3 linked regions of the Stegostoma tigrinum genome follow. The protein of the gene in region 2 interacts with the protein of the main gene of each other region in a pairwise test. Links are inferred from orthologs where the notes say so. Each region holds a gene or a part of one and is shown on either strand. Other genes may lie near its edges. The genes, in order: ralbp1, gps2 and sestd1.

Evidence for each region.
Region 1: the proteins of gps2 (region 2) and ralbp1 interact in binary tests that used the Homo sapiens proteins (3 or more experiments, as listed by UniProt). The two-hybrid records come from large-scale screens. The link is inferred for Stegostoma tigrinum from reciprocal best matches to the Homo sapiens genes GPS2 and RALBP1.
Region 3: the proteins of gps2 (region 2) and sestd1 interact in binary tests that used the Homo sapiens proteins (3 or more experiments, as listed by UniProt). The two-hybrid records come from large-scale screens. The link is inferred for Stegostoma tigrinum from reciprocal best matches to the Homo sapiens genes GPS2 and SESTD1.

What each region holds. Positions count from the first base shown.
Region 1 is NC_081358.1:114,693,055-114,703,015, reverse strand, and holds the start of ralbp1 (ralA-binding protein 1), read right to left. Parts: upstream 4,228-9,961; 5' UTR 4,112-4,227; intron 1-4,111. UniProt on the Homo sapiens protein: Multifunctional protein that functions as a downstream effector of RALA and RALB. As a GTPase-activating protein/GAP can inactivate CDC42 and RAC1 by stimulating their GTPase activity.
Region 2 is NC_081398.1:13,794,754-13,805,374, forward strand, and holds the start of gps2 (G protein pathway suppressor 2), read right to left. Parts: upstream 4,885-10,621; 5' UTR 4,752-4,884; exon of another isoform or gene 4,735-4,751; intron 4,008-4,734; 5' UTR 3,974-4,007; coding exon 3,880-3,973; intron 1-3,879. Other genes in the region: neurl4 (neuralized-like protein 4), read left to right, coding at 5,136-5,300. UniProt on the Homo sapiens protein: Key regulator of inflammation, lipid metabolism and mitochondrion homeostasis that acts by inhibiting the activity of the ubiquitin-conjugating enzyme UBE2N/Ubc13, thereby inhibiting 'Lys-63'-linked ubiquitination.
Region 3 is NC_081360.1:43,778,635-43,789,008, forward strand, and holds the start of sestd1 (SEC14 domain and spectrin repeat-containing protein 1), read left to right. Parts: upstream 1-5,415; 5' UTR 5,416-5,502; intron 5,503-5,529; exon of another isoform or gene 5,530-5,650; intron 5,651-5,677; exon of another isoform or gene 5,678-5,763; intron 5,764-6,250; 5' UTR 6,251-6,269; exon of another isoform or gene 6,270-6,394; intron 6,395-10,374. UniProt on the Homo sapiens protein: May act as the primary docking protein directing membrane turnover and assembly of the transient receptor potential channels TRPC4 and TRPC5.

The sequences.
Region 1 (9,961 bases), on a different chromosome or scaffold from region 2:
TTTCACAACCCCAGGCCCTAAAGTGCTGGACAGATCGGTTTAAATCCCACAAATGGGGCTGTTGTAGGCTGCAGTGGGACATTGACGGGATGCAGAGATGGGCTGAGAGGTGGCAGATGGAGTTCAACCTGGATAAATGTGAGGTGATGCATTTTGGAAGGTCGAATTTGAAAGCTGAGTACAGGATTAAGGATAGGATTCTTGGCAGTGTGGAGGAACAGAGGGATCTTGGTGTGCAGATACATAGATCCCTTAAAATGGCCACCCAAGTGGACAGGGTTGTTAAGAAAGCATATGGTGTTTTGGCTTTCATTAACAGGGGCATTGAGTTTAAGAGTCGTGAGATCTTGTTGCAGCTCTATAAAACTTTGGTTAGACCGCACTTGGAATACTGCGTCCAGTTCTGGTCGCCCTATTATAGGAAAGATGTGGATGCTTTGGAGAGGGTTCAGAGGAGGTTTACCAGGATGCTGCCTGGACTGGAGGGCTTATCTTATGAAGAGAGGTTGACTGAGCTCGGTCTCTTTTCATTGGAGAAAAGGAGGAGGAGAGGGGACCTAATTGAGGTATACAAGATAATGAGAGGCATAGATAGAGTTGATAGCCAGAGACTATTTCCCAGGGCAGAAATGGCTAACACGAGGGGTCATAGTTTTAAGCTGGATGGAGGAAAGTATAGAGGGGATGTCAGAGGCGGGTTCTTTACAGAGAGTTGTGAGAGCATGGAATGCGTTGCCAGCAGCAGTTGTGGAAGCAAGGTCATTGGGGTCATTTAAGAGACTGCTGGACATGCATATGGTCACAGAAATTTGAGGGTGCATACATGAGGATCAATGGTCGGCACAACATCGTGGGCTGAAGGGCCTGTTCTGTGCTGTACTGTTCTATGTTCTATATAATGGAGGATAGTGAAATGAGAGTTCAGCCAAACTCTGGGAATTAAAAAAAGTTAGCCTAACTGCAATCACGTAGCCAATGGTGACCGTTGTAAAAGCCTATCTGATCCAATAATGCTCTTTAGGGAATAAATTCTCCTGTGCTAACCAAAAAATAAATCCAAGAGAACTGCGGATGCTGTAAATCAGGAACAAAAACAGCAGTTGCTGGAAAAGCTCAGCAGCATTTATGAAGAAAACACTCAAATGTTAACTCTGACTTTTTCTTCACAGATGCTGCCAGGCCTGCTGAGCTTTTCCAGCAACTTCTGTTTTTGTTCCTAATCTAACCAACGTATGACTCGAGACCCACAGCAATATGATTGACTCTTAACTACCCTCTAAATTGGTCCAGCAAGCCAGTCAGTTCCTAGGCAATAAATGCTGACCTATCCAAAAATGCCCCATTCCAGGAACTTTTTGTTAAAGTGAATTTACATAGCATCTTTCACTGAATAAAACATCTCAACATGCATCCAATAGACATTCTAAAACAAACTGTGACACTTAAGCCATGCAGGGAGCTATTAAGGCAAATAGCCAAAGGCTTGGTCAAACACACAGGTTTAAAAAGAAAATAAGGTAGAGAGCCAAACAAGTTTGGAATGGGAATTCCAGAACTTAAAATCTAGGGAGATGAAGCCCAGCCACCAATGTTCAAGTGATTTAATTAAAACAAAGTACAGTTAGGTTTTAGGACAGAAAGATTAGATAGGATTAGATAGGAAGACAGACCAAGCTATGGATAGATTTGAAAGCAAGAGTTAGAATCCTTGATTCTCAGACAGCATTCTGTTCAAATGGCACCAGATTCAACATCTTCAATACTCAATCCTTTCATCACTGACACACAATGGCAACAGTATGTACTGCTGTAATTCAACAACATTGAGTTTAAAAAAATTTCATCTTGGATCTAAGTGGCATCCCCTTTTTTTTTTAAATTCTGCCATCTGACTCTGGATTCTCCAGCCAGGGAAACATCTTAGTGCACTGACACTGTTTATCCCTTTAGCTATGTTACAAATTTCAAATTTCAAATCTCCCTTTTTGAAATTAGAGAATACAGGCTGTTTCTCAATTTCCCTTCACAGGACAGTTCCACAATCCTGGGAACAAATCTGGTGAGCCTTTCTACATCCACACTTTCCAAATACTTACCTTTTAAATTCTGCACAGCTGGTTTCCCTACCAAACTGGATAACTTCATATTTTTCCACATTATCTTTCATTTGCCATGTTCTTGACCATTCACTGTGCAAGTCCTCCTGAAGCTGTTTTACATCTTCCTCATAACATATATTCCCACGTAACTTTGTATCCTCTGAAAATTTAGAAATATCACATTTGGTCCACATCTCCAGATCAATGATACATATTGTGAACAGTTAGGGCCACAAGTACATCCGTCTCCTGGACTTAAATCTTCTCGCCAAGTAATTGAAAAATATTCCTGCTCATCCAATATTGGATCTTAGATAAGCAATGACAATTTACAGACAATGGAGAGAGGTTTACATGGCTGAGTATCACTGTGTACTCTTATAAATTGGCTTGGTTTTGGAAGACCTAACAGTGGGGAAGCATAGAAATGAGGTGGTGGTTTTAGAAAGGGCAGACCAGAGAGTAAAGGGATGTAGCTCACTCTACCAATCAAGATCAAAAATTAGCCATAACGGATGGCATACCAGTTCAAAATGGTAGCTCTGTTTCTCTCTCAACAAATGCTGTCAGACCTGCTGAGTTTCTCTGACATTTTCTGTTTGTTTCAGAAATCAGTCAGGTTAGGAATCTATGGTACAAAAACTGAAACTCAGCAGGTCTGACAGTATCGATGTGACAAAGCAGACTTAACATTCAAGTGAATCAAACTCTTCAGAGGAACCAACTGGTAGCAGCTTGTGATAATATTAAAGTGCTTTAGCACAGCAGATTCCAAAATAGTGCCTGATACACACATCATAACATCACACACAAGAACAATTTTTGTCTAAAGCATATTTCATATATCATTAAAAATCAAGGTGATTGGAAAAGATTAGTTGAATAGAAAAAGTAACAAATCCTGAAGTGCTGAGGACATTAGCAAAACATAATTCAAAAATCATTCAGAGACTGGTCGAGGCTCATCTTAAGTGAAACTAGTTAGGATTGAGCTCACTCTGCCATTGTTTTAGCCACTCATTTCATTTTTAGCAATTAATGAGACACAACAAAACAGTAACTGCACTAATACCATCTCAGATCCCAAACACGATAAATTTCAAGGCACTCTCTCAACAGACTGCAAGATCCTAACCCCAAACTCCAACTTGACAATACCGAACTGCAGCAGTAATAGTCAGAAGCGACATTTCAGTAAATTCACTACATATTCGGTGAAACTGTCAAATAGGCTCTTTTTCTACCAACAATGCATTCCTCCCCAAGTCAGTCATTCATTCTTTACTGCTGTGGAAAGACGAGATATTTTTCAGCTACATTTGCAGCGTGAAAAACAGATCACAAGAATCCCAAATCAGCCCCATGCATCACACACAACTGCAAAACACTGTTTCGAGTAACTGGCTTTTTACTTATGAAGTAAATAGACGAGTGAAACAGCCGGCAGCAGTGTGCAAATGAAGTAAATAGCAAGGATTCTGTTCGGTTATTTGTTAAAAAAAACCGTGCATTTAAACTCTTCTCTCCCCCGTCCACTTTAAAACAGTCTGGTTTAGTATCTAGGGTGGAAGATAGAAGGAGGAAAGGTTACATCAAATGTAAAGAAAAGGATCCAGATTGCAGCTGATAGCCATAGTGAGTGCTATAAGGTGGAGGACTCTATAGGAAGGGGTTTTAATCTGGAAATTAATAACACGGTGCTAGGGAGGGGAACAAATGCGCCCCGGACCACAGAGTAGTATCGCTAGCGCTCCGGGGAACTGTATGGGATCGGGATGCCCCTCTCCTAGGGTTGGGGGAAGGGAGTACGGGTAAGATCGCCGCGGGGTAAGTCATCCTATATCAACAAGGTCTTCTGCTCCCTCCCGGCCACGGCCTTCTTTCCAAATCAAGGCCGGTGATGCCAGCGAGGCCTAATCTACGGTCTTCGCTCCTTCCGTTCACATCACCTCTGGACTTCAATATTTGAAAAAAATACCGGCCTCCATGAAGGATAAATCCTGCACCTTTACCTCATCTTAGAGCAGCCCCGATCCAGGAATCGCAGCTCTGATCCTTGGCGACATACCAAGCCGCCACCGGCCGCGGCCCTGCAGCTGCTGGACGGGAGAGGAGGGGCCCACAGGGCTCGGCGTCGCTGCGCAGGCGCCAGCGTGCGAGTTCCGGCTCGGGCGTCGCTGCGCAAGCGCCAGCGTGCGAGCTCCGGCTCGGGCGTCGCTGCGCAGGCGTCAGTGTGCGGGCTCCGGCTGGGCCACTGTGCGCAGGCGCCAGCGTGCGAGCTCCGGCTCGGGCGTCGCTGCGCAGGCGTCATCGTGCGGGCTCCGGCTGGGCCACTGTGCGCAGGCGTCAGTGTGCGGACTCCGGCTCGGGCGTCGCTGCGCAGGCGCAGAGATCGAAGCGTCTTGCAGCCTTCGGTCACGTGACCTTTCTCGACTGGATCCTGGGACGAAAAAAAACCAGAATTTGCTGGAAAAGCTCAGCAGGTCTAACAGCATCTTGAGGAGAAAATCAGAGTTAACGTTTCGGGTCCGGTGACCTTTCCTCAGAACGCGTGGGAGAGAGGTGTTCAGCCTCCCACAGTTATCATTTCGATGTATCAAAACGTCCAAGCAAGCAGTTTTAGAGAGAACAAGGTGTGGAGCTGGATGAACACAGCAGGCCAAGCAGCATCAGAGGAGCAGGAAAGCTGATGTTTCGGGCCTAGACCCTTCATCAGAGGGAGGGGAGAGGAAGGGAAAAGGAGAGGAAGGGCAAGCAGTTTGTGTGTTGCACCTCGTTCAGTTCCTATCCAAGCGAAGGTGATGGCTTAGTGGTATTATTGCTAGATAATAAATCCAGAGACCCGGATAATGTTTTGTGGACCCACTTTGAAACCATGACAGAGAGTGGAATTTAAATTCAATTTTTAAAAAAACCTGGAGTTAAGAATCTACTGATTAAAAATCATTGTCAACTGTCAAAAAAGCACACCTGGTTCACTAGGTGTGAACGTTTCCTTTCCTTTCAGGGAAGGAAATCTGCCATCCTCACCTGATCAGGCCTACATATGACTTCAGACCCACAGCAATGTGGTTGGCTTTCAGTTACCCTTTGAAATATCCTGGTAAGCCATTCAGTTGTACCAATCACTCCAAAGTCTCAAAGAAATGAAACCAGATGGATCACCTGGCATCGACCTAGGTTACAGAAAAGACAACAGCAGAAACAGCCATGTCGACCCTGCAAAGTCCTCCTCACTAACATCTGGGGATTGGTGCCAAAATTGGTAGAGTTGTCTCACAGACTAGTTAAGTAACAGCTTGACATAGTCATACTCACAGAATAATACCTTATAATGTACCAGATATCACCATCCCTGGATATGTCGTGTCTTACTGGCAGGACAGACCCAGCGCAGTGGTATACAGTTGGGAGGGAGTTTTACTCTAGATCCCATGAAGTCACATGGCTTCAAGTTAAATACAGGCAAGGAAACCTCATACTGATTACCACCTACTGTCCTCCCTCAGCTGATTGAATTGGTACTCCTTCATGTTGAACAACACTTAGAGGATGGCAAGGGCACAAGATATACTCTGGGTGGGGGATTTCAATGTCTACCACCAAGATTGACTCAGTAGCAGCAACACTGCTGGCTGGGTCCTAAAGGACATAGCTGCTAGACTGGCTCTGCAGCAGGTGGTGAGAAAACTAACAAGAAGGACAAATGCACTTGACCTCATCCTTACCAATCTGCCAGCTTCAGATACATTTTTCCATAACAGTATCGGTAAGAGTAACCACTTGTGGAGATGAAGTCCAGCCTTCAAATTGAGAGTAACCTCTCTGTTGTGTGGAACTTTCACTGCTAAATGGGACAGACTTCAAACAGATCTAGCAACTCAAGAATAGAGGCACTGTGGGCCGTCAACAGCAGCAGAATTTTACTCCAGAACAATCTGTAACCTCATGGCCCAGCATATCCCCCACATAACCATTACCATCAAGCAAGGTGATCAACCCTGGTTCAATGAAGAGTGCTGGAGGGCATACCAGGCATACCTGAACATGATGTGTCAATCTGGTGAAACCACCAAACAGGACTGCATGCATGCCAAACAGCATAAACAATATGTGGTAGACAGAGCTAAGCGATCCCACGACTAATGGATCAGATCTAAGCTCTGCAGTCCTGCTACATCCAGTCGTGAATGGTGGTAGACAATTAAACAACTCACTAGAGGAGGAGGCTCTCCAAATATCCCCATCTTCAATGATGGAAGAGCCAATCCCATCAGTGCCAAAGATACAGCTGAAGCTTTCAGAGTAGTCTTTAGTCAAATGTGCTAAGTAGATGATTTTTCTCAGCCTTGTCCTGTCATCCCCAGCATTACAGATACCAGTCTTCAGTCAATTGGAATCACTCCACATGATATCAAGAAACAGTTGGAGGCACTGGATACTAGACACTACAGACCCTTACAACATTCCAGCAATGGTACTGAAGACTTGTCCTTCAGAACTTGTTGCACCCCTAGCCAAGCTGTTCCAGTACAGTTACAACACTGGCATCTACCCGGCAATGTAAATAATTGTCCAGGTATGTCTTGTACGTGTAAAGCAGGACAAATCCAACCCAGTCAATTCCTGCCCCAGCAGTCTATTGTCAATCATCAGTAAAGTGATGGAATGTGTCATCAACAGTGCAATCAAGCAGCACCTGCTCAGCAATAACCTGCTCAGTGACGCCCAGTTTGGATTCTACCAGGACCACTCGCATTTTGACCTCATTACAGCTTTGGTTCAAACATGAGCAAAAGAGCGGACTTCCAGAGGTGACATAGGAGTGTCAGCCGTTGACATCAAGGCTTCATTCGACTGAGTGTGGCATCGAGGAGCCCTAGCAAAACTGGAGTCAGTGAGTACCGGGGGACAGTTAGAGTCATACATTACACATAGGAAGATGGTCATGGTTGTTGGGGGTCAGTCATCTCAGCTCCAGGACATCTCTGCAGGAGTTCCTCAGGGTAGTGTCCTAGGCCAGACCATCTTCAGCTGCTTCATCAATGGCCTTCCCTACAGCGTAAGGTCCAATGTGGGGATGTTCACCGATGATTGCACAATGTTCAGCACCATTCGCAACTCCTCAGACACTGAAGCGGTCCATGTTCAAATGCAACAAGATCCGGACCAGATCCAGGTTTGGGCTGACAAGTGGCAAGTAATATTTGTGCCACAAAAATGCCAGGCTATGACAATTACCAATAAGAGACAATCTAACCATCGCCCCTTGGCATTGAATGGTTTTGCCATCACTGAAACCTCCACTGTCAACATCCAGGGCATTACCATTGCCCAGAAACTCAGCTGGACTCATCACATAAATACAGTGGCTACAAGAGCAGGTCAGAGGCTAGGAATACTGCAGTGAGTAACTCACCTCCTAACTCCCCAAAGCCTGCCCACCATCTACAAGGCACGAGTCAGGACTGTGATGGAATACTCCACGCTTTCCTGGATGAGTGCAGCTCCAGAACACTCAAGAAGTTTGACAGCATCCTGGACAAAGCAGACCACTTGGATGTGAAACACAAGCATTCACTCCCTCCTCCACCAATGCTCAGTAGCAGCAGTGTGTACAATCTGCAAGAAACACTACACATTTATCAAAGATCCTTTGACAGCACTTTCCAAACACATGACCACTTCCATCTAGAAGGACAAGGGCAGCAGACATATTGGAACACTGCCAAGTTCCCCTCCAAGCCACTCAGCACCTTGATTTGGAAATATATCGCCGTTGCTTCACCGTTGTTGGGTCAAAATCCTGGAATTCCCTCCCTAATAGCATTGTGATCAACCAACAGCAGGTGGACTGCAGTGTTTCAAGAAGACAGCTCACCACCACCTTCTTAAGGGGCACCTAGGGATGGGTAAGAAATGCTAGCCAGTCAGCGATGCCCACATCCCACAAAATAAATAAACAAAAAAAGAGAATTCCCTGCAGCTACATCTCTGTAATCTGTCCAAATCATGATGAAATTCACTTCAGATAATCAGAGGAAAGACTCTAATCATGGCCATCTTAATGCTTCAAAGCGAAAGAAGAAACTGCATCTAATTTCAACACATTTCATGTCCTTTCACAGTCATGAACAAAGTGTTTGGTCATCGAGAGAATGAAGAAAATGAAAAGAAATTCGATAAGAAATGGTTTCCTGATTTGTAACTGAGTTTCATCTCTTCTTGGGCGTCAGCTAGCAAGTCACTGGGGAAAACATTTACACCCACAGCAGTGGAATCTTTAAAATGGGTAGGAAACGATTTAAATTTCATGGAAGGAATCAGCAGTGTGGAAAGGGACTGCAATGTGGAAACAGTAAACTGCACATTCTGCTGCAGTGTATCATGGAAGGAAAGATCAAAATATTCACCTCCTTACTTCCCACTGCAATGACCATACCCAATGCCAAGGAAGGGTAGTATGAGGAAAATATGCTTTGTCAAAAAATTACTGAGGGACTGGATAATTTCACAGAAGAATCAGAGCGCCCATTGAAATAAGTATTTGTGTCAAAATAGAACAAGAAGCCTTTGTTTTAAAAAACTATCATCTCCAGATCTAGTCAATAAAAGCACCAATTTTTTACCACACAACCCAGCAGCTGATCTCAGCTGGAATGATCCAATTATCCTCAGTGCAAATGACATACAAAAGGAAACAGTAAAAACTCTATAAGACCATAAGAAGTAGAACACTCAGCCCCTCAAGCTTGCTCCTCCATTCAGTAGGATCATGGCTGATCCAACATTCCTCACGTTCATTTTCATGCCTTTCCCTTTTAACCCTTGATTCTCCTACTGATCAAGAATCTATCTGCCTCAGCTTTAACTATACACAAGGAGTCTGCCCCCACAGCTTGCTGTAGCAAGGAATTCCAAAGACTCTCAACCTTCTGAGAGAAGGAATTCCTCCTCATCTCAGTCTTAAATTGGCACCGCATTCTTAAGTCAAGTTATTCTTAAGTCAATGCCCTCTGGACCTAGGCACTCCCATGAGAGGAAACATCCTTTCAATATTTACCCAGTCTAGATCCTTAAGAACCCGACATTTCTCAATGAGAATCTCTCATTCTTCTAAATGTCAATGAGTCCCAACCTTGTTTAACCTTTGCTCATAAGACAATCCCACCACACAGTGTGCCCTGCTGAAAAGCTGGGGCTAGGTTCTGACAAGGTCCATCATCATTTTCCAGGAAGAAAGTTCTTTCTGACCACCACACTGAAAATGCAATTGATATGTAGGATTTCCACTGCAGAAATCAACTTCATTGTTTCTGGAGATGGCAAGGGAGAACAGGATTGGAATTTTAAAACAATTTTGATGCTGTAAATATGAAATAAATAATGAAAATGTCAGAAATAGCCAGCAGGTCAGATGACATTCGAGGAGAGTGAAGCAGAGTTAATGTTATGGAGTAAAGAGTAAGAACATTTTGTCGAACAACTATACAGGGCATTAGATTGGCCTGAGGTGGAATGTTGCTTCCAGTTCTGGGAGCCACACGTTAGGTGGGTGATGTGAGGGTATTGGAGAGAGTGCATTGGAGATTTACAGTGCTTTCAGTTATGAAATTAGAAATATAGAATCTGGGACTGATCTCCTTGGAGAAGAGAAAGCAGAGAGGAAATCTGATCTGAACTATTCACAATCATGAGCAGTCTGAACAGAGTAAATAGGGAGAAGATAATCTCACTGATGAAAGGATAGAGAACAAAGTATAAGTATAAAGTAATTAGAGAAAGAAGCAAAGGTAGTCTGAGAAAAACACAATCATTAGGAACAAAAACAAAGTTGCAAGAAAAGCTCAGCAGGTGTGGCA
Region 2 (10,621 bases):
TATCAATGAGAGAAGTGAAGGCAGAGTTGCTAAATTCAGAAATGACACTATGATAGGTAGGAAAGTATGCTATGGAGGAGGAGTTTGCAGACAGACAAAGATTGAGCCAATTGGCAGAGGTCTTGTACATTCAGTGCAATGTGGTCAAACGTGAGTCGTTTACTTTGGCAGGCGTAGGGACTACGTATTTTATTGGAAATATAAACCAGCAAACCAAATTTTATCTTTATAACTGGAAACAAAAGTTGGACTGTGCGCTGTTCACTCCTGGGCCACACAAGCATTTATGACATTTGAGACAAATTGGATTTGATACTTCTGAGACACATGCTGGCACCAAGATCCTTAGTTAGGAAAAACATAAACTGGCAAGCAACAGCTTTTGGACTGGTTGTAAGCAGAAGTTCATCACAGAACTGAGAGGAGAGAGCGCAGTTGGGCTGCCATGACTCCAAAAACCCTCAGCAAACCAGACTGTGCTCGCCCACCCTCGCTCTGAATAGAAACAAACTAACACTGAAGAGGCTTTGTCAAGAGAGAGCTTAAGCAAGGCCAAAGCCCAAATGACTAGTTACTGACATGAGGTTTGCCAAAGTCAACAACAATACAGCACCAAAAATCAAAGAATAATGAAAAAGTCACGACACTTATTTCAGCATTTGGACTCTTGATCCACAGACATTGTTTGATTTTGCCTATTATCCCCCAACAATATTCCCGAAAAACTGTTTGCATTGTCCTTGCCGTTTATCAATGTGTGTGTTTGGATTTCAAGGGCTTCAGCTTAAATTTGCACATTAGTAATTAATAATCTGTTTTTGTCACACATGAGAGAATAAGCTTAGTATAATAAATACGTTTTTGGTTTCTCATTCATTGCTAAAACCTGGTGTGAGCTACTTTTCTCTTAGACAGTGATCACAATCAGATATTAACCATCCTAGAGATTAAATTGGTAATCCTAAAACTTGTGGAATACAGGCACTTAATTTCCAGTGATCTCTTTCCATCAAGGTTGACACACTGAAAGAATCAAAAGGCAGAGTATTCATAGAATCCCTACAGTGTGGAAGTAGACCATTCAGCCCATCGGGTCCACACCAACCCTCCAAGAGCACCCAGACCCTCGTTCCTATCCCTACAGACCTGCATTTCCCATGGCTAATCCACTCAGCACATCCGTGGACACTGTGGGAAATTTAGCATTGTCAATACACTAAACCTGCACATCTTTGGACTGTGGGAGGAAACCGGAACACCCAGAGGAAACGCGTACTGAAAAGGGTAGAATGCACAAACTCAGTACAGACAGTCACCCAAGGGTGGAAGCAAACCCAGGTCCCTGCTGCTGTGAAGACAGCAGTACTAGTCAACGAGCCACCATGCCGTGCTGCTCAACAGAAAATAACTTTAGAACTCTGGATAGGTAGCTATATCTTGGTATTTTAGTCCAGAAGTCACAAGACTTTAGTATCTAGGTACAACATGTAACCGATAAAGCTAATGGAATGCTATGCTTTATTACCAGGGAAATTCAATATAAAAGTTTGAATGTTATGCTTCTGTTAAACAGGGCATAGGTGAGACCACATCTCAAATACTACATTCAGTTTTGGTCTCCTTATTTAAGGAAGGATTAAATGCATTGGAGACTGTTCAGTGGAGATTTACTCTTGAGAGCTGGACCAAGTTGTTTTACGAGGATTGGTTAGATGGGCCAGTCTTGCTTCCACTGGAGTTTAGCAGAGTGAGGAGTGACTTGATTGAAAGATATAAGATACTAAATGGTTTTGACAAAGAGAACATGGAAAAGATGTCTCCTCTTGTGATTAGGGGCCACTGTTTTAGGACTGTTTTACACTTAAAGAAAAGTAAGTTCATATTTGACAGTCAACATGACTTTGCCAATAGCAGGTCATGTCTGACAAATTTAATTGAGTTCCTTAACAAGGTGATCCAGGCAGCAGATGAAGGCAGTGCTGTGGATGTTGTATATTTGGACATTAGAAAGTATTCGATATGGTGCCACATGCCAGGATGGTTAGCAAATTAGAAATGTTTGGTATTGATGGAATCTTGCAGCATGGATTAGAATTTAGCTAAAAGGTAGGAGCAAGAGGGTAAAGTGGGCATATTGCAGATTGGAGACAAGTTGAAAGTGATGTATCTCAGGCATCAGTGTTGGGACCCTTGCCTTTTCTGATTTAAAAGAACAATTTGGAGATAGGTGTTGAGGGAAAAATCTCTAAATTTGCACATGATACTAACTGAGGTAGAATAGTGAATTAGAGGATGACATTGAGCGGCTTCGCAGAGATATTGGCAAGTTTTCCAAATATGCAATACCTGAATTTCAATGCAGAGTAATGCAAGATAGTGCACTTTGACAGAGGAGACAGGGTGAGACAGTATGGGCTCAAAGGTACAACTTTGAAGGGAATACAGGAGCAGCGGGACCTCGGGGTTCACATGTATAATTCTCTGAAGATGGCCAGACAAGTTGGAGCAGTTGTTACTAAGGCTTATAGGAGTCTTGACTTTATAAAAAGAAGTATAGCATAGAAAAGGAAGGAACTGATGCTACACCTCTACAAATCATTGATCAGACCAAATTAAGAGGACTGTGCTTAGTCCTGGCACTTTATTTAAGGAAGGACATTAAAGGTCTGGAAAGAGTGCAAAGGAGATTTGCTAGAATGATACCAGGAATTAGGAATTTTAGATACAAGATAAGATTAGAGAAATCTGGCTTATGCTACATGGAGCAGAGAAGATTAAGATATGACCTTATTGAAGTGTTAAAATTTATGAATAATTTTGACAGAATAAAGAAGCATATTCTGTTTCCACTGGTTGGTATGTCAGTAACAACAATTTCAAAATTGTCAGCAAGGTGGCTTGGAGTGAGATGAGGAGAAAATCTTTATTCAGTGTTGTTAGGATTTAGAATGAGCTGCCTGGAAGAGTGGTGGAGGTGGAGATGGAGAGCTCTGGAGAATGAAACTAGCTGGGTAGATCTCTCAGGGATGGATAGACCAACTAGTGGGGGACATAGGTGGAGCTAGAGAGTTATGAAGCTTGGCAAAGCAGGTGGAGCAACACGCAGAATGGGAGTGGATAGGAGGAACAGACAGAACAATGGCAAGGTCAACAGGCAGAGGGAGGGCACCGGCAAGGCAGAGGGGGAGGGCACCAGAAAAGAGTGAGAGTTATCCAGTTTATGCCTTAACTGACTTATGGGTAGCATAGGATTGAAGATTCCCTGGATTGATTAATAGGCTGTGGGCAAGGTCCTGCGAGGAATGATTGAGTGAGTTGCACCCACATTCTTTGCAGATGATCTCAACCTGATCCCTTGGATACTGAAATTATTCTACGTGTATAATTTGAACAGACAGATCCAATATATTTGAGTTTAGAAGAATGAGCAGAGATCTAATTAAAATGGATAAAATTCTTCGAGAAGGAAGAATGCTCCCCAGCCAGGGGAGAAACACAAAAACATGGAGAAAGAGTCTTTGAATAATTAGTCGTCATCTCCCAGATTGGCATAAAGGTCGATATGAGCCAAATGGCTTCCCCTGTGTTCCTTTGTCCAACGGTCTCGAGCACTTTTGTCCCAGAGGCCTGCAAAATTCTTGTGCACTCCCCTTCTGGAAAGCCCAGTTGGATCTGCTTAAGCTGCCCTTTCAGGCATCTACCAGATCATAACAATAACAACACAGCATTCTGATATAACAACAGCACATATCCCAGGGAGCCAGTGACAGCATGACACATGCAGATTTTTCTGTTGAGCATTTTGCCAGATTGTCCCGCCCTGATCTACCTGCCAGACATTGTGTGAGCACACTCACACTTCCTTCCCAGCACTTCTACCTTGTCGTTTCCGTGCTCTCTCCTTCATGATGTGCTGGTGAAGAGCTCGCGCCATCGCGCTCGACATCTTGGGTCGTTCCAGTAGGGCGGGCATCGTCTCTGTTTCAGAAGGATCCAGACACTAGAACCTAAAACAGGTGAGAAAAAGCCATAAATCAGCTTTGTGTGAGGTACAGAATCGCAAGAGTAAATCTGGAAAACCTACAGTCACCACACTGTTTCCCAAGACCACCCGGTGTAGCACAGCTAACTAGAACTCCTAAAAGTTCCCCTCTGAAACACTTGACTTGGACCTACAGTGCTGTTTCCTCACAGCAACTGGGTCACACTTCCCACTTTCCCTTAACAGCACTGTCCCTATACTTCAGGGACTGCAGCAGTTTAAGGTGGCGTCTCACCACCACGGCAAATAGGGATGACCAGTAAATGCTGGCTCGGCTAGTGAAGCCCACACTTTACACAGAACGTACCACAAACAAATAACTCCGGATCAACCAGTCAATACCATTCTGTTTCGCTTGAAACCCAGAATGAGCCACAGCCAGAGCCATACTGGATTAGACCCCAGGAGGACAAGAGGCCAGGCTTCCCACAGATTGCATTCTCTTTCAAAACACGCTGGCTACACATAGGGTGCTGTGCTCTCCCCAAATCTCCCTGTTCTTCCCGGATTCTCAAGAACTGTGCCCCATTCCCTCCACTCTCATCGGTATGTCCTCCCTTCTCCATTTCCCTCTCACTGTTCTACCCAACCACTTCCACAAACACCCCTCCCACCTACCCTTCTCCTCTCTCCACGGGTCTTTTCCTTGATCTCCCCCACATCCCGCAGCTCCAGGTCCCCATCACCCTCACCCTGTTCTTCCCCTCACCATTCCCTGTTTCCAGGCCCCGGGCCGCTTTCCTCCTTTTCTCTCTCTCTTCTCTCTCTTTTCACTCCACCAACGCCATCACACTCCGCCCGCCCACCGTCAGATCCGCCCCGCAGCCGTAAAGCGAGACGGACGCTGAGAAGCGGGCGACGGCCTTGGCGCGCGACGGGATCGTAAAGCGGAGCCGCCGGTTTCCAGCGCGGAGGGGCGGTCAAATCAAACGGCGCTGCCGTCGTAAAGCGGATTTCGATACAGCTGCCCCGCAGCCGTCAAGCGGGTTAGTCTCCCCGGCCCTGTTACTCCTTTAGGACCCGGTTGAGAAGGCTGTCGTGGAGCAGGAGCGGGCTGAGGAGGGGGCGGTAAGCCCCTCTCTCCGCTCTCGGAATGGCGGCCGAGTTCCACCTGAGGACCGGCAAGTTGGTGGCGTTGCTGAACGGCAACCGCACGGCCAAGCGTAACAAGCCGACCGAGGAGTTCAACCACGGGCTGGCGATGAGCCGAGAGCCGCTGGGGGACGGGCAGCTCTTCCAGGTCCGGATCGACAGGAAGGTGAGTCCAGGGGGAGATGTAGATGTTTGTAACTCCACCCCCACCCTCACCCCCACCCCCACCCTCACCCTCACCCCCACCCTCACCCCCACCCCCACCCCCACCCCCACCCCCACCCTCACCCTCACCCCCACCCCCACCCTCACCCCCACCCCCACCCTCACCCCCACCCCCACCCCCACCCCCACCCCCACCCTCACCCTCACCCTCACCCCCACCCTCACCCTCACCCCCACCCTCATACCCAGGGGTAAGCTCAGTAAGAAACACCGGTGATTGAGGCCTACACCAGAAGGTGCACGGGAAGGGGAATCTCAGCAGGTAAAAAGGGGGAACACACCCCCCCCCCCAGCTTTAACATCGCTATAGCAGGTTTTGTGATTTTATTTTCTTAAATCATATTTAATCATAATTGCGACACCCCCCCCAAAAAAAAACATCGTGGATATCGCTAGAGGATTAAATGTAATGAGTGGAACTTGGTCCAGCAGAAAAAAGCTGGAGCTTGTCCCAATTTGCAGCAGAGAGGACCCTAAGCACCCCCTCTTCCCCCCCCCCCCCCCGGGCTGGTATTTGTCTGTCGGCTCGACGTGGCTTGTCAAGTAGCCCCCTGCCGTCCCCAGTTTTAAAAATTCAAAATCCCTCTCTGGTCATTTTGTAAAGGTTCCTCCCCAGCATGCCCTTGGACACCATCTCGAGGGTTCCCCCCCAGCCCCCAAGTGAAGGCAGCCCAATGTGATGGACAGTGCCAACTCCTGGCAAGGGCCAGGTGCAGAGGCGCCAGGGAATGGAACATTGGTAGAAGGTCCCGGAAGGGCGCAAAAGACTGGGCAGTGCTAGTGTAGAGAAGGAAACCAAGGTGATGCTTTGGTTCACTGGCCTGGTGCCACAGCTTTGTCAGTGGGACTGCACCATCTGGTTTCGAGGGCCCTTGTGTGCTCCATGTGATGGTTTGCACCAGATGTCAGCCATCAAATACTCTCAGAACAGGTACAGCACAGGGTTAGTTACAGGGTACTTGACTGTGTCTCCACTAAGCCCTCCCAAGACAAGGGTGACGTATGATTAGATACAAAGTGTTGCCTCTATGTTCTTCCAATCCAACACTCCCAGGGGAGGAACAGCACATGATTTCTCTAGTCTTTCAGACTGAAAATAAATAGAAAGTAAAGCTTGCTCAACATTGACCCTAACAAACATGTCTAGGATGGGGGCATCACAGGGTTACATAATGAGTGAGGCTGTCTGTACACTGTCCACATCAAACATTCCCAGCACAGGGCTAGATACAGAATATACTTCTACACTTTTAAACTGAAAGTAAAGCCCCCTCAACAACGTCTGCTTAAAACACCACAAGAAGAGATAAAGCAGGCGTTTTGGTGCAGAGTAAAGATCACAGTGGTTCAGTGGTTAGCACTGCTGTCTTCACAGTGCCAGGGACCTGGGTTCACTTTCACCTTCAGGCAACCTTGTGTATAGAATTTGCACATTCTCCCCATGTCTGCTTGAGTTTCCTCCCACAAAAATGAGCAGATTACGTGGATTGGCCATGCTAAATTGGACATAATGTCCAGAGACGTGCAGGCTAGGTGGATTAGACATGGGAAATGCAGGGTTAAGGCAGGAGGGTGGGTCTAGATGGGATGGTCTTCAGAGGGCCGCTGTTGGTGTGACAGGCCAAATGGCCTGCTTCCATGCTGTAGGGATTCTATGGTAAACTGAAATCAGAGCATCCTCTACGGTTTTAAAACTGAAACTAACACTTCCTCTACACTTAAAACTGAAAGGCACCTCCATCTGTGTCAAACGCTCCCGGGGCAGGAACAACAGAGGGTTAAGTACAGAGTAAAGCCATCTCCACTCTTTGAACTAAAAGTAAACTTTAAGTAATGGTCCACTGATGCCATCCCCATCAAACACTCTGGAACTGTGGCAGCACAGGGTTAAATGCAGAATAAACTCCTTCATTTTCAGTTATGAGTGGTGTACCACAAGGATCTGTTCTGGGTCCCCTTCTGTTTTTGACTTTTGTAAATGAACTGGGTGTAGGAGTGGAAGAGTGAATTAGTAAGTTTGCAGACGACATGAAGGTGGGTCAAATTGTAGATAGAACAGCCCTCCGCACTATGTTACAAAGGCACATTGATAGGATGCAGAGCTGAGCTGAGAAGTGGCAGATGGAGTTTAGCCCTGAAAAGTGTGAAATGGTTTATTTTGGAAGGACAAACTTGAAAATGGAACACAGGGTTAACGGAAAGATTCTTGGCAGCGTGGAGGAGCAGAGGGATCGTGGGGTTCATGTCCACGGTTCCATGAAAGCTGCCACCCAAGTGGATAGAGTTGTTAAGAAGGCATATGGTGTGTTAGCTTTCATTAATAGGGATTGAGTTCAAGAGCAGTGAAGTTATGCTCCAGTTATACAAAAACCTGGTTTGGCCACGTCTAGAATATTGTGTCCATTTCTGGTCACCTCATTACAGGAAAGATGTGGAAGCGTTGGAAAAGGTGCAGAGGAGATTTGCCAGGATGTTGCCTGGAATGGAGGGAAGGTCTTATGAGGAAAGGTTGAGAGAGCTAGGGCCTTTCTGTTTTTAGAACAACGAAGGATGAGAGGTGACTTGATAGAGGTGTACAAAATGATGAGAGGTATAGATAGTGTGGACAGCCTGAAACATTTTCCTCGGGTGGAGGTAGCTATTATGAGGGGAGCATAGTTATAAAGTGAATGGCGGTAGATATAGGGGAGACATCCGAGGTAGGTTCTTTACTCAGACAGTGGTTGGGCCATAGAATGCATTGCCGGAGAGGGTAGTGGAGTCAGCCTCAGCCTCATTAGGAGCATTTAAGCGGCAATTAGATAGACACATGGATGATAGTATAAGGTAGCAGTGGGAGTTAGATAGACCTTAGGTTTAGGGTAAAAGTTCAGCACAGCATGGGGAGCAGAAGGGCCTGTACAATGCTGTACTGTTCTATGTTCTATTTCTTTTATGAAAACTGGAAGTCCAAAATAATAATAATGAAACGCTTACTGCTGTGCATCGTATTGCAATTGAACATAAACTAACAGTCAAATGGAAACTTACAGAACCAAACAGAAATTACCCATGTCAAAATAATGTTGTAGACCCATAGAGCCATAAAGCATGGAAACAGATCCTTTCGTTCGACTTATGGGACCCCAATCTGGAGGGCTTACTCATTTGCCAGCATTTGGCCCACCTCCCTCTCAGCTCTTCCCATTCATATACCCATCAGATGCCTTTTAAATGTTGTAATTGTTCCAGTCTCCTCCACTTCCTCTGGCCGCACATTCCATACACACAGTACACTCTGTGTGAAAAAGTTGCCCCTTGGGTACCTTGTAAATCTTTCCTGTCTTGCCTTAAACCCTATCCCCTCTAATTTTGAACTCCCCTCCCGTTCGAAAAAGTTTGACTATTCACCGAATTCATGCCCCTCATGATTTGATAAACCCCTGTAAGATTGCACCTCAGCTGCCCTCACTCCAGTGAAAAATGCCCCAGCTCCCTCAACCTGTCCCTATGACTCAAGCCTCCCAGTCCCAGCAATGTCCTTGTAAATCTTTTCTGAACCTTTTCAAGTCTAACAACATCCTTCCAGTAGAAGTGCATCTAGAATTGTGTGCAAAATTCTAGAAGTGGCCTTACCAATGTCTGGTACAGCCACAACATGACATCCGAACCCCTATAGTCAATGCACTGACCAATGAAGGCAAGCATGCTAAATGCTGCCTTCACCACCCTGTCAGCCTGTGATTCAATGCTGCCCAGGCTTTGTGGTGCCCAATGGTCTCCAAAGAACTTTGCTGTATCTGTGAGCACTGCTCTGTCTTCAGCAACTCCCCAGCTCAAACATAATTGTGAAAGCGTGGCACCCCATCAGGAATGGGGGAAATCTTGGCCAGACCCAGCAGAAGGCCCACCAACTTGTCAGCCTGCACTAGGTGTCCGTAGATCAGGACCATGGGACTGAAGTGCAAGCAAAATTGAAGAAGCAACCCCTTCAAAAACCAAAAAGGAGTTGCAAACGGAAACATTCTACACCGATGTCAAGCACAAAAATTACGCGTCACCTGGCATCCAGTGGACTCACATCCTATGGTGTACCGGCCTGCCACATGCAGCACTCTCCACCCCGGATCCCCAGAGGAAAGGGGAAGGACCTCTTTGTAAATGGCCCTCCGCTGGGGATCTCTGCAGCTGGAGGGCAAAATAGTCTCGAAGCAACAGATGAAGGTGCAGAAGTGGAGAGTGCAACAGCAGCCAGTACAGGAAATACCTCTGTGCAGTGATTTCTGAAAGACAGCTCAGATTGTGAGGCACCACGTCATGGGGAAGGGTGGCTTGTGCAGGACTGATGTCGGGTTCCGAACGTACAGGAGTCAATTCAGCCGGGAGCCCGCTGCGCACACGCCTGAGCTGTCTGGGTCTTGCATAGGGCATCGGGGCTGAGCACGTTGTGCCTCAGGCTACGTATGGGTCAGGCTGTGAACCCTCTCGGCCAGCTGCAGCAGTGTCACTCAGCCCACTCCTCCTCCATCTAACACAGCCTTGACCCTGGTCAGCCCAGCATCCCAAGCCCTCCCCTACTTCAGCCAGCAGAGTTCACGCTGATGGAGGAACTCATTCCTGAGCAGTGGCTCCCTCACAATAGCTGCCACTCTTATAGGAGTGGCAATCCAACATGAGCTGACCATGTTCCAGATACAAGTCCAAGTAAAAGACAGGCAATTCTTGGGAGTAGATTCAAGAGCGAGACTATTCTGTGAACAGGAACTGCATGTCAGTATAGAGGCTGTGCACCTGACAGAAAAATGACATCATCAGGGCGCAACAACTTGGAGGGCCAATGTAAAGGTGTCACTGCAGAGTCTGAAGGCAAAAAGTCATTACCCAGGTGTGGAGGCACACCAGTGCCAGACCCCCATCTGAACTGCAGCAGGGACCTAGTGTTGCTTTTTGTCCCAGAAAAATGCTATGACCCTTTTGTGAATGGTTTGACAAAGCCAGGGGTTGGGACCAAAGTGAGCAGCCAGTACCATAATGTGGCAGCTCCCATCTGGTTTATGACCAGACCTCGTGCCCTGTAAAATGACTCTTCAAGTAGCCCTGTCTCGTGTCTTTGGTGAGTAATCACCTTGGCTATTTGTGCTAACTCACTGGCCAGGATTCCTCGGCAGGGCAAACGTGGCATTCCGGGTAGAGGAGGTGAGTGATACTCCACAAGAACCGCTGAAGCTGCTCCGGCAGGAAGTCCAACTGCCACAGATTCACCAGAAGTCCTGAACACTTACT
Region 3 (10,374 bases), on a different chromosome or scaffold from region 2:
TACGTGGACTTTAGCAAGGCCTTTAACAAGGTTCTGCATGGCAGCCTGGTTAGTAAAGTTAGATCACATTGGATGCAGGGAGAGCTAGCCAATTGAATAGACTGTAGGAGGCAGAGGATGGTGGTGGTGGGGTGTTTTTTGGAGGCCTGTAACCAGTGGTGTTCTGCAGTCATTGGTGCTAGGTCCACTGTTTGTCCTTCACATAAACGATTTGGATGAGAATATAGCAAGCATGTTTAGTAAGTTTGCAGATGACACCAAAATTGGTGGTATAATGGACAGTGAAGATGATTTTCCAAGAGTACAGTGGGATCTTGATCAGTTGGCTAATGAGCCGAGGAGTGGCAGGTGGAGTTTAATTGAGATAAATGTGAGGTGTTGCATTTTGGTAAGACAAAACAGGGCAGGGTGAACACATTTAATGGTGGCTCTGGTTAGTATTTTGAACAGAAAGACCCAGGGTTCAGGTGCATAGTTCTTTGAAAGTGATATTACAGGTAAACAAGGTTTACCTTGCTTTAAAAGACATCGGGACAGGTGCATGACCAGGCCAAGCTCAAAGGGATATGGGCCAAACATAGGCAAATGGGACTAGTTTAGTTTGGGAAAACTGGTTGGCATGGACAAGTTGGACTGAAGGGTCTGTTTTTGAGGTCCATGACTCTATTTCTTTCGTGAAAATTACATTTAACTAACTTTATGGAATTGTTTAAGGACGTAAGAGCATGTATTAATGCAGGTAATGTTGTTGATGCAGTTGTACATGGTCTTCCAAATAATGTTCAAACTGTTGTGCAACATTGTTCTGAGAAAGATTATAGCTCATGGAAAAGAAATAACAGTTTCAATGTGGATGCAAAATTCCTTGTGTGACAGGAAATAGAAAGTAGTAGCTGATGAATATTTTTCAGGTTGGATGATGTTTTGGGCTGGATGATGTTTTGGGTCTCTTGCTTTATTATGATCAACACCAAGGCTATTTCCTAACTCTTCCGAATTTCCCTTTCTCTAGGTGAAATTATTTCTTACATCCAATTTCAACTGAGCCTTCTGTGAATTAAACGAAAAAAATTGCAAGCCATGAATGCTTTCCAAATGCAAACAAAAAATTAATTCTGTATCTTCTAACTTAAAGCTGGCTAATGCTTATCATGTTTGTTCTGTGTGCTCATAAAGCTCCCTGTGTCAACAAGTTCCTATTAGCACTGCAGGAACCATCTCTCAAGTTGGTTTTAAAAAGTGTTCCAGAAATACTGACCAGTTAATCATTATCCCCCCTCAAATGCACAGACATCAGCCCACATTCCATTAGGTTAAACTCCAAACTCTAAGATAAATGACATCAAAATAGATAAAAATCACAAACTTTGTATCACACTTATTTATATGAATAATCAAGATCTTGGAGCACAGGAGACAATTTCAAAGTTTGCAGGTGATACGCAAATTAAAGTTGGAAGGTTTGCAACCTGTGAGGAGGATCATGAACATAACATGAACATACAAGTAATGAGCAGGAATAGGCCATTCAGTCCCTCAACTCTCCACTACAATTTCTAGGTCCTGGTTCTAAATACCACCATAAAAGGAAACATCTTCTTCACATCCAACCCATCAAATCCCCTCAAGATCTTATATGTTTCACTCAAGTTGCTTCTTGCTTTTCTAAACACCAGTGAATATAAGCCTAGTCAGTTTAACATGTCCTCATAATGCAGCCTGTCCCATTCAAGGCATTATCCAGAAAACCTATTATCCGCTTCCAAAAAATTTACATCCTTCATTAATAAGGTGACCAATACTGGGAACTGTACTTCAAAACTTTAAAACAACATTGAAATATTCATAATAATACAGTGTGGAGCTGGAGGAACACAGCAGGCCAGGCAGCAAGAGAGGAGCAGAAAAGCTGATGTTTCAGGTCGGGACCCCACTTCAGAAATAGGGGAGATGAAGGAGCTCTGAAATAAATAGAGAGGAGGGGCATTGATAGCAGGTAGGTAGTTGGGGGGATTGGTCAGTGAGGTAGGAAGAGTGGATAGGTGGGAGAGAAGATGTACAGGTCAATGAGGCAGGGATGGGGGCATGGCTGGTCTTGGGATGAGGTCAGGGTTGGGGAGATTTTGAAGCGAGTAAAGTTCACATTGAGACCATTGGGTTGTAGGCTTCCTGTTTGCGGGTGGCATCATGGTGACACTGGAGGAGGCCCAGGATGGACATGTCGTCAAGGGAGTGGTAGGGGTAGTTGAAGTGGTTTGCGACTGGGAGGTGTTGTTGTTTGTCACGAATCAAGAGTAGGTGGTCTAGAAAACGGTATCCGAACCTCCACTTGGTCTCACCAATGTAGAGGAGGCCACATCAGGAACAGCGGATATAATAGACCACATTAGAAGATGTGCAGATGAACATCTCTTTTACGTGGAAGGTTTTCTTGGGGCCTGGGACGGAGTTGAGGGGCACGTGTAGGGGCAGGTGTAGCACCTCCTGTGGTTGCAGGGAAAATGTGTCTGGGGTGTTGGGCCTAATGGGAGGTGTGGAGTGGACGAGGAAGTCGTGGAGAAGGCGGTCCCTCCAGAAGGAAGATAAGGGTGGGGAGGGAAATATATCCTCAGTAATGGGATCAGATTGCAGGTGGCCGATATGGTGGAAAATGATGACTGTTGAATCCAGAAGTTGATGGGATGATATGTGAGGACAAGGGGAATTCTGTCTTTGTTGTTATTGTGGGGGCGGGGGTGTGAGGGCTGGGGTGCGGGAAACGCAAGAGATGTGGTCGAGGGCATTTCCAACCACTATGGGGGGGGGATGTTGAGGTCCTTGAAATACGAGGACATCTGGGATGTTCGGAAGTGGAATGGCTCATCTTGGGAGCAGATTCGGCAGAGGTGAAGGAATTAGGAATAGGAGATGGCATTCTTGCAGGAAGGTCGGTGAGATGAGGTGTAGCCTAGGTAGTTGTGGGAATCAGTGTCCTTGAAACAGATATCAGTTTCGAGGTCAATTGTATCTGCTGTTCCTGATGTGGCCTTGTCTACATCAGTGAGACCAAGCAGAGGCTCAGATATCGTTTTATAGAGCACCTACACTTGGCTCATGACAAATGACAACACCTCCCAGTCGTGAACCCCTTCAACTCCCCCTCCCACACCCTGGACGACATGTCCATCCTGGGCCTCCTCCAGTGTCACAACAATGACACCCGTAAACTGGAAGCCTACAACACAATGGTCTCAATGTGGCGTTACTAGCTTCAAAATCTCCCCAGCCCCCTCATCCCCACCCCCTTGAACTGTCTGTCTTCTCTCCACCTATCCACTCCTCCCACCTCACTGACCAATCCCCACCACTATCACCCTGCTATCACCAATCCTCCTCTCTATTTATTTCAGAGCCTGCTTCGCCTCCCCTATTTCTGAATAAGTGTCCCTACCACAAACATCAGCTTTCCTGCTCCTCTGATGCTGTGCGCTCTGTTGTGTTCCTGCAGCTCCACACTCTGTTAACATCTGCAGTTCTTACTGTCTTTCATTGAAATATTCATAGAGTGGGCAGATAGGTTGCAGATGAAGTTTGATGTGAAGATGTACGAGGTGAGATATTTTGGGAGAACAAACACAGATACTGTATAAACTAAAAGGGACTACCCTAGATGGTGGGCAGAGAGACTCCAGTGTATGAGTGCATAAGAATTAAAGGTGGCAGAGCAGGTGGTCAGAATAGCTAATAAAGCACACAGTATCTTTGGCTTTACTAACAGTGGTTTCCTGTACAACAGCACATGGGTTACACTAAATCTGTGTATGATACCAGTTAGATGTCTGCTGAAGTATTGTTCCAGTTCTGGAAGCCACATTTTAGGAAGATCTGGAAGCATTGGTGACAGATCTCAAGTGGTTTGCAAGAAGTGGTTCCAGGGAGAGAAACTTCAATTATGAAAATAGAAGTTGGGACTGTTTTTCTTGGAGAGGAGAAGGCAGAAAAGAGATTTGTTTCAAGTTTTCAAAATCACGATAAGTTTGGACAGAGTAGAAGCAGATAAGCTATACCCAGTGGTGAAAGAATAAAGAATGAGAAAGCGCAAATGTTAGGAAATTCGATGTGAAAAGTTTCTTCTCAAACAGCAACTGTCCGTGTGGGGTTTGCACGTTCTCCCAGTGTCTGCGTGGTATTCCTCCCACAATCCGAAAATGAACAGATTAGGTGGGTTAGCTGTGGTTAATGCCGGGTTACGGGGATGGGGTGGAGGGAAGGTGGGTCTTGGATGGGACACTCTTGGGAGGTTCGTTGTGCACTCGTTGGCCGAATGGCCTGCTTCCGTACGGTAGGGATTCTTTGTGCTACCTAAGTGTACCCGGAAGACAGGTTCCATTGAGGCATTGAGGAGGTCATGAGATGAATATTTAAATAAAATGATGTGAAAGGGTACAGTCAAAGGACAGGATAATGGCATTTAGTCATGCTCCTCATTTGGAGAGCTATTGCAGACACTATGGGAAGACTTCTGCACGGTTATTCTGCAATTCTTGAAACATCCGAGGGAAACAACTTGCAGGATTGTGGGGATAGAGCAGGAGAATGGGACTGACTATTGTTTTTCAGAGGCGACATTGACCACCGTGTTTCTAATGGGCTCTTCCTTTGTTTTAATGACTCAATGACTTGGACAAAATATTGCAGGGCAGCTTGGAAATTATACTTCAGTATATTTAGAGTAGAAAAAGGTGAAACATTTCTCCTTTATTGATATTAAACAGTTTTCTACGAAATATTCCTAAAAAATCAAACATTTTCAACAGTGAATTGACAAACTGTAATAAAATTTCGTCTATATTGCTATTTTTTCTAGAATAAAACACTTTGAGAGAGATCTTATATCATGTTCACTGAGCATTTACACTATGATCGATGATATGCACCGCAAAAATGATGAATGGTTAGTTGATCCCTTGGTCAGTAACGCGGTTTAAAAGCTGATTTCTAAAAGCTCTCTAAAATTTATCGGGCAATATCAGCTCTAGTACCTTGGGCTGACAACCATATTTTAAAGGAGAAGAAAGAATTTTGATAAAATATCGCAAAGCCGTGAAAACTGAATGTATTTGATATACTTCTGCTCAATCTCAGATTTAAATCTCCATGTTGTTGTGACATTTCGATGAGGTTAATTTCCAGTTGTTCATTGATCTCATTAGAAGGTGCTGCACTGCTTTTTTTGGCGGGGGGGAGGGTTGGAAGGAGTGCTGGTGGTGTGGGGATGTTGAGCTTTGTAGTGCAAGTGGGATCTCCGTTTGTGCGTGCACGATTTATTTCGTAGCAGACGTGAATATGTGAGACGCGCTGGTGGGAGCTGTGAGGCATCTCTGCTTGACATGCCTCGTACGGCGAGGGTGCCGCTACCGTTCTGTGTGAGCCGCCGCTGCTGCTGAGATCGGTCTCTCCTTGGGAAGAGGAAGTCGGCGGCTGGGAGGGAAGGAAGGAGCAGTGGGCAGCTCGCGTCCTCAGGTGAGCGGGGGCTCGTGCTGCCTCACCTGTGCGCGTGGCTGAGGCTGAGTGGGGGTGCAGGGCGGGCTGTCTCCCTGGGCAACAAAAGGAGTTATGTCTGCCCCGGGCAGCTGAATCTGTGTGAACGGTTCATCCTGGACGACCATCGGTACTGGAGCTGGAAACCTCGTCTTTCTTTCTTTCTGTGTGTGTGAGAGAGACCAAAAATCACGATTGCGGCGGCTTACTGGGCTGAAGGCTTTGAGCGGACTGGGGGGAAAGGTAGGCCCGAGGTGGGGTGGACCGAGCTTTGTTCAGTGGCAGCGCCCACTACCAGGTCGCTGTTCCTTCCCAATCTGATTTATTTTATTAGAAATAACTTATCGGGTTTTTTTTTGGTTTGTTATTTTCTTTGTTTTTTATCTTTAAAAAATAACTTGCAATCTGCGTTTCCCACTGCACTTTTTTTTTGGTTCCAAAGCGCTGCCCCGTAGAGTGTGTACCGTTCGTTGCACTCCAGCCATTTTCAAAAAAAAGACGGGCTGAGTACTTCCTGTGGGTTGGGAAAGAAGCGCAAATAATTAACGGTATATGCTACTCTTGAAGCACTCCTGCTGCAGCCCTCCGCTTAAAGATGAAAGCAGCGGTAGAAAGTAGATCATTTCGCAAGATGGGCTGATGTGGTTTGAAAGCTTTTTGTTGTCAGCTGGATGCCTGATGTGTAAACCCTCCACGACGCTTGAAGGACTAATCCGAGTAATCTACATAGGTGATCTCCATCGTGGAACGTGAGTGTTGTGGTTCTGCCAAAAAAGGGGCTTCCTAGGATGAAACAGGTCACCGTTGTCAAAATTCAAAGATATGCAGTTTGCAAATACTTACTAGGATGGTGATGAGATTCAACCCACTGAAGGTACACTGGTTATCATCATGGAATGTAATGTTTTGCACTGCTTAGTCAGCTACATGTTGGAGTAGTAGTTTACAGGGTTGTTTGGAACTGTGAGAACACAATCCTGTGCTGATCCCACTCCTGCCCCACTCAAGCCTTATTCTTTCATTGTTCCAGTCAATTACCTGATTTATCTGCTTAGTTACAAATGGTACACGAGATGCTTTAGTCACACAGACTTGGGCGTTGTCTTAGTTCATTCGGTCAGATTACTGGTCTGAGTCAGAAAGCTACAGGTTCAGGATTTACTCTATGGAATTTTGCAAATAATTTAATCTTGCATTTAAATATAGTGGAAAGGTATGTTAATAGGGGATCTTCAGGCTGTTGCATTAATTGAGGCATTTGCCAGTTTTATACAGAAGGTGGTGATGGAGGGTTGTTTTTCCATCTGGAGGCCTGTGACAGCAGTGTTCCCCATTACTGGGTCTAGTTTTGTTTGTCATTTATATAAACGGTCTGAATTCAAATTTAGGGAGCATGATTAGTAAGTTGTGATGACACCAAAACTGGTATAGTTGACAGTAAAGAAGATTATCAAAGACTACAAAGGGATCTTGATTGACCCAATGAGCTGAGCAGTGGCAGATGGAGATTAATTTGGATGAATGCAAGGTATGGCATTTTGATTAAATAAACAAGGGCAGGACTTCTGCAATTAATGGTAGGGCCCTAGGTCATATTCTAGAACAGAGACCTAGGGGTTCAGGTATATAGTTCTTTGAAAGCTGCATCAGGGGTAAATACAGTTAAGGTACAGTAGTTAAGGTACTCTGCAAGGTTACCTTCATTGCTTAGATCATAGGAGTTGCGATGTCATGTTGATGTTATAAAGGACTTTGAGGCCAGTTTTGGAGTAGTGTTTACAGGTCTGATTGTCCTGCTTATAGAAAGAATGTTATTAAATTGAACATAGTTCAGAAAAATTTACCAGGTTGTTTTCAGGATTGGAGAGTTTGAGTTACAAGAAGAGGCCGGATAGGCTAGGACTTTTTTCACTAGCATGTCATAGGTTAAGCAGTGACTTTGTAGATGTTTATAAAATCATGATAAGGTGAATAGCAAAGGCCTTTTCCCTAAGGTGGGGCATTCAAAACTAGGAAGCAAATTTTAAGGTGAGAGCAGTATGATTTAAAACGGACCTGAGGGGCAACTTTTTCCACATGGAGAGTGGTTTGTTGGTGGAATGAACTACCAGAGGAAGTGTTACAGTTCCTGTATTTAAAAGACATTTAGATAGATACATCACTAGGAAGGGTTTACAGGGATATGAGTCAAATGCAGGCAAGTGGGACTAGTTTACGTTCGGGAATCATGGTCAGCGTGGGCTTGTTAGACCAAAGGGTCTGTTGCCATGCTGTTTGACTCTATGATGTACTAGAGCGTTTGATACAATTTGAGGAGCAGGGACTTGTTGGCAATATTTCTTCTGTAAAGGCTAAAAGTCTATGTGGTTAGCCCATGTGAGATGTAGCTCAGTGATTAATTTTCTCATTTCTGAATCCAATTTAAGTGAGTTCAAATTCCACTTAAGATGCATGTAACCTAGGCTGACATTTCTGTGCAGTATAGGGGAAATGTTGATCTGCCAGTTAAGAAATTTAAAGGACTTAGATGGTCCAACAATTGAGATATAGGATCTCATTACTTATTTCATTGCAGCATTGTGGGAGCCTGCATGTGTAAATTAGCTGCTGTTTACCACGTTGAAATAGCAACTGTTTAATTTGGTATAAAATACTTTTGGACATTGAGGTTGAGGGTGTAATGTAAACATCAGTCATTTCCCTATTCTCTCTTGTTCCTGGGTAATCTTTGTTTTGGGACAGTCTCTCCTGAAATTCAGTTATTCTTTCAAATTGAAAATTTTGTTTTTTTTCAAGTTTCATTTTCTTTTGAGCTTAGCAGCAACAAACAAGTCGTAATAAAGTCTGAGTATAATGCAATTAACTGACACATAGGTCACAGGAATAATGTTTTGAAACAAAAACAAGCTTTATCGCTTATAAGAATTAAATCAAGTGCTAGTAGCATAATGCTGTAGTTTATGATAGCGCTATGAATTTTACTTTTATTTTACTATACCTGCTAAACAATTCCTTTCCTATTACAAGAATCTTGAAGGTTGAACCACATTTTGAGGGGCCAGCTTAAAGGTGTGACAGTGGACTCTGGAATTCACTACATATTCATTTAGGCTCACTGCTGATTGCTTTATGCCACATGGCTCTTTGAGAACCATTGTAGAAGTTTTCCTCAAGCTGCAAGCTAGTTAGATCATCCATCGTTTCCTTCAAAAATACAAACAGTTTAAGTTCTACCCACATTCTACTTGTTGAGCAATAAAGATCATACTTATCCTGCATAAAGCCTGATGTAGGTTACACCGAAGCAAAACGTCAACAGCCAATCTTTCGAGTAAACACCCAGATTAAATTAAGCAAAAGACTGTTTGACCCAATAGCCTAAGCCTATTTCTATGTGGCATTCATTGGGTAGTCATTAAATTGACATGTAAAAATTACCTTCAACACAGTTCATTTGATTCTGTTAAAAAGTGCAGAGAGGTTTTAGAATCTCCACACCTATCCAGGAGCTCCCCTGTTGATCATCTTTCCCAACTTTTCATTTTGGTAACTGCTTAATTTAAAACTTTTGAGGTAAGTGGAGACCTTCAGGTCTACCTGAAACCCAGTGTTTGGTGTTAGTATTAGAAATGCGGATCCATTTGAGGGTCAACCAGAACAACTTGAGTTGATTGAGAGTAGATGATGCACATTGAACTTCATAGCTCCATGTGCATCCCCCTGAAGCTCAGAATTCTATCAGAGGATGGCCCCTAGAGGACCACCAACAGTCTAGGATATATGACATAGCTGCACTGTCCTGCTCGACTGGATTTAAGACAATTTGATAAACAAGGATGATGTTGGGATGACCATCTCCAAGATTTAAGATGCATCCAAGTCGGGCATTGCTTGTGACAATCTCCTGTAATTTTTGGAAAAATAAAAAGCAGGGTTCCTGAAATAGGTGATTATTTGTGGTGACTTAATTTTTTGAAGAACGAGCTAAGTTCAACAATTTTTATTTATATAAAAATTAAGGGTGGGTTCTTCCCTACGTACGAGTTGGGTTCAGGGCAGGTAAAGGAATTGTCTTTGTGCTAAACTATAGATTTACAATAAAATCGCTTACTAACTTCTTTAATTTCAATATCTTGGGATATTGATCTGTTAAATAGTTGATCCTTCTTTATTCAACTGTCCCTACTGTTAATTCTAACCTATTGTATAATTTATAAACTACATTTTGAACATACAATCTAAGCAAGGCTAGGTTTGTTATTAATCAGTTTCTCAGCCAGGTGCTTCTATTTATTGCTAGTTCAAGCTTTAATTCCAAAAATTAGAAGTTCTATTATTTGTGGGAAATTATAGTCATAGAGATGTACAGCACGGAAGCACACTCTTCGGTCCAACTCGTCCATGCCAACCAGATATCCTAGATAAATATAGTCATTTGGCCTGGTGTCTTTTAGTGAAGGAGTACACGCTGTGTCAGCCATACCCTCTAAGCAGTTAGCCCATATCCTTCTTAAACCCTTCCTAATCATATACCCATCCAGAGGCCTTTTAAATGTTGTAACTGTACCAGCCTATCCTTACCCTGGAGAAAAGACCTTGTCTATTTACCCTATCTATGCCCCTCATAATTTTGTAAACCTCTATAAGGTCGTCCCTCAGCCTTTGATGCTCCAGGGAAAATACCCCCAGCCTATTCAGTCTCTTGCTTTAGCTCAAACCCTGTAATCTTGGCAACATCCTTGTAAATCTTTTCTGAATCCTTTCAAGTTTCACAATATCCTCCCTATAGCAAGATGATCAGAACTGCATGCTTTATTCCAAAAGTGCCTAACCAATGTCCTGTACAACCGCCAC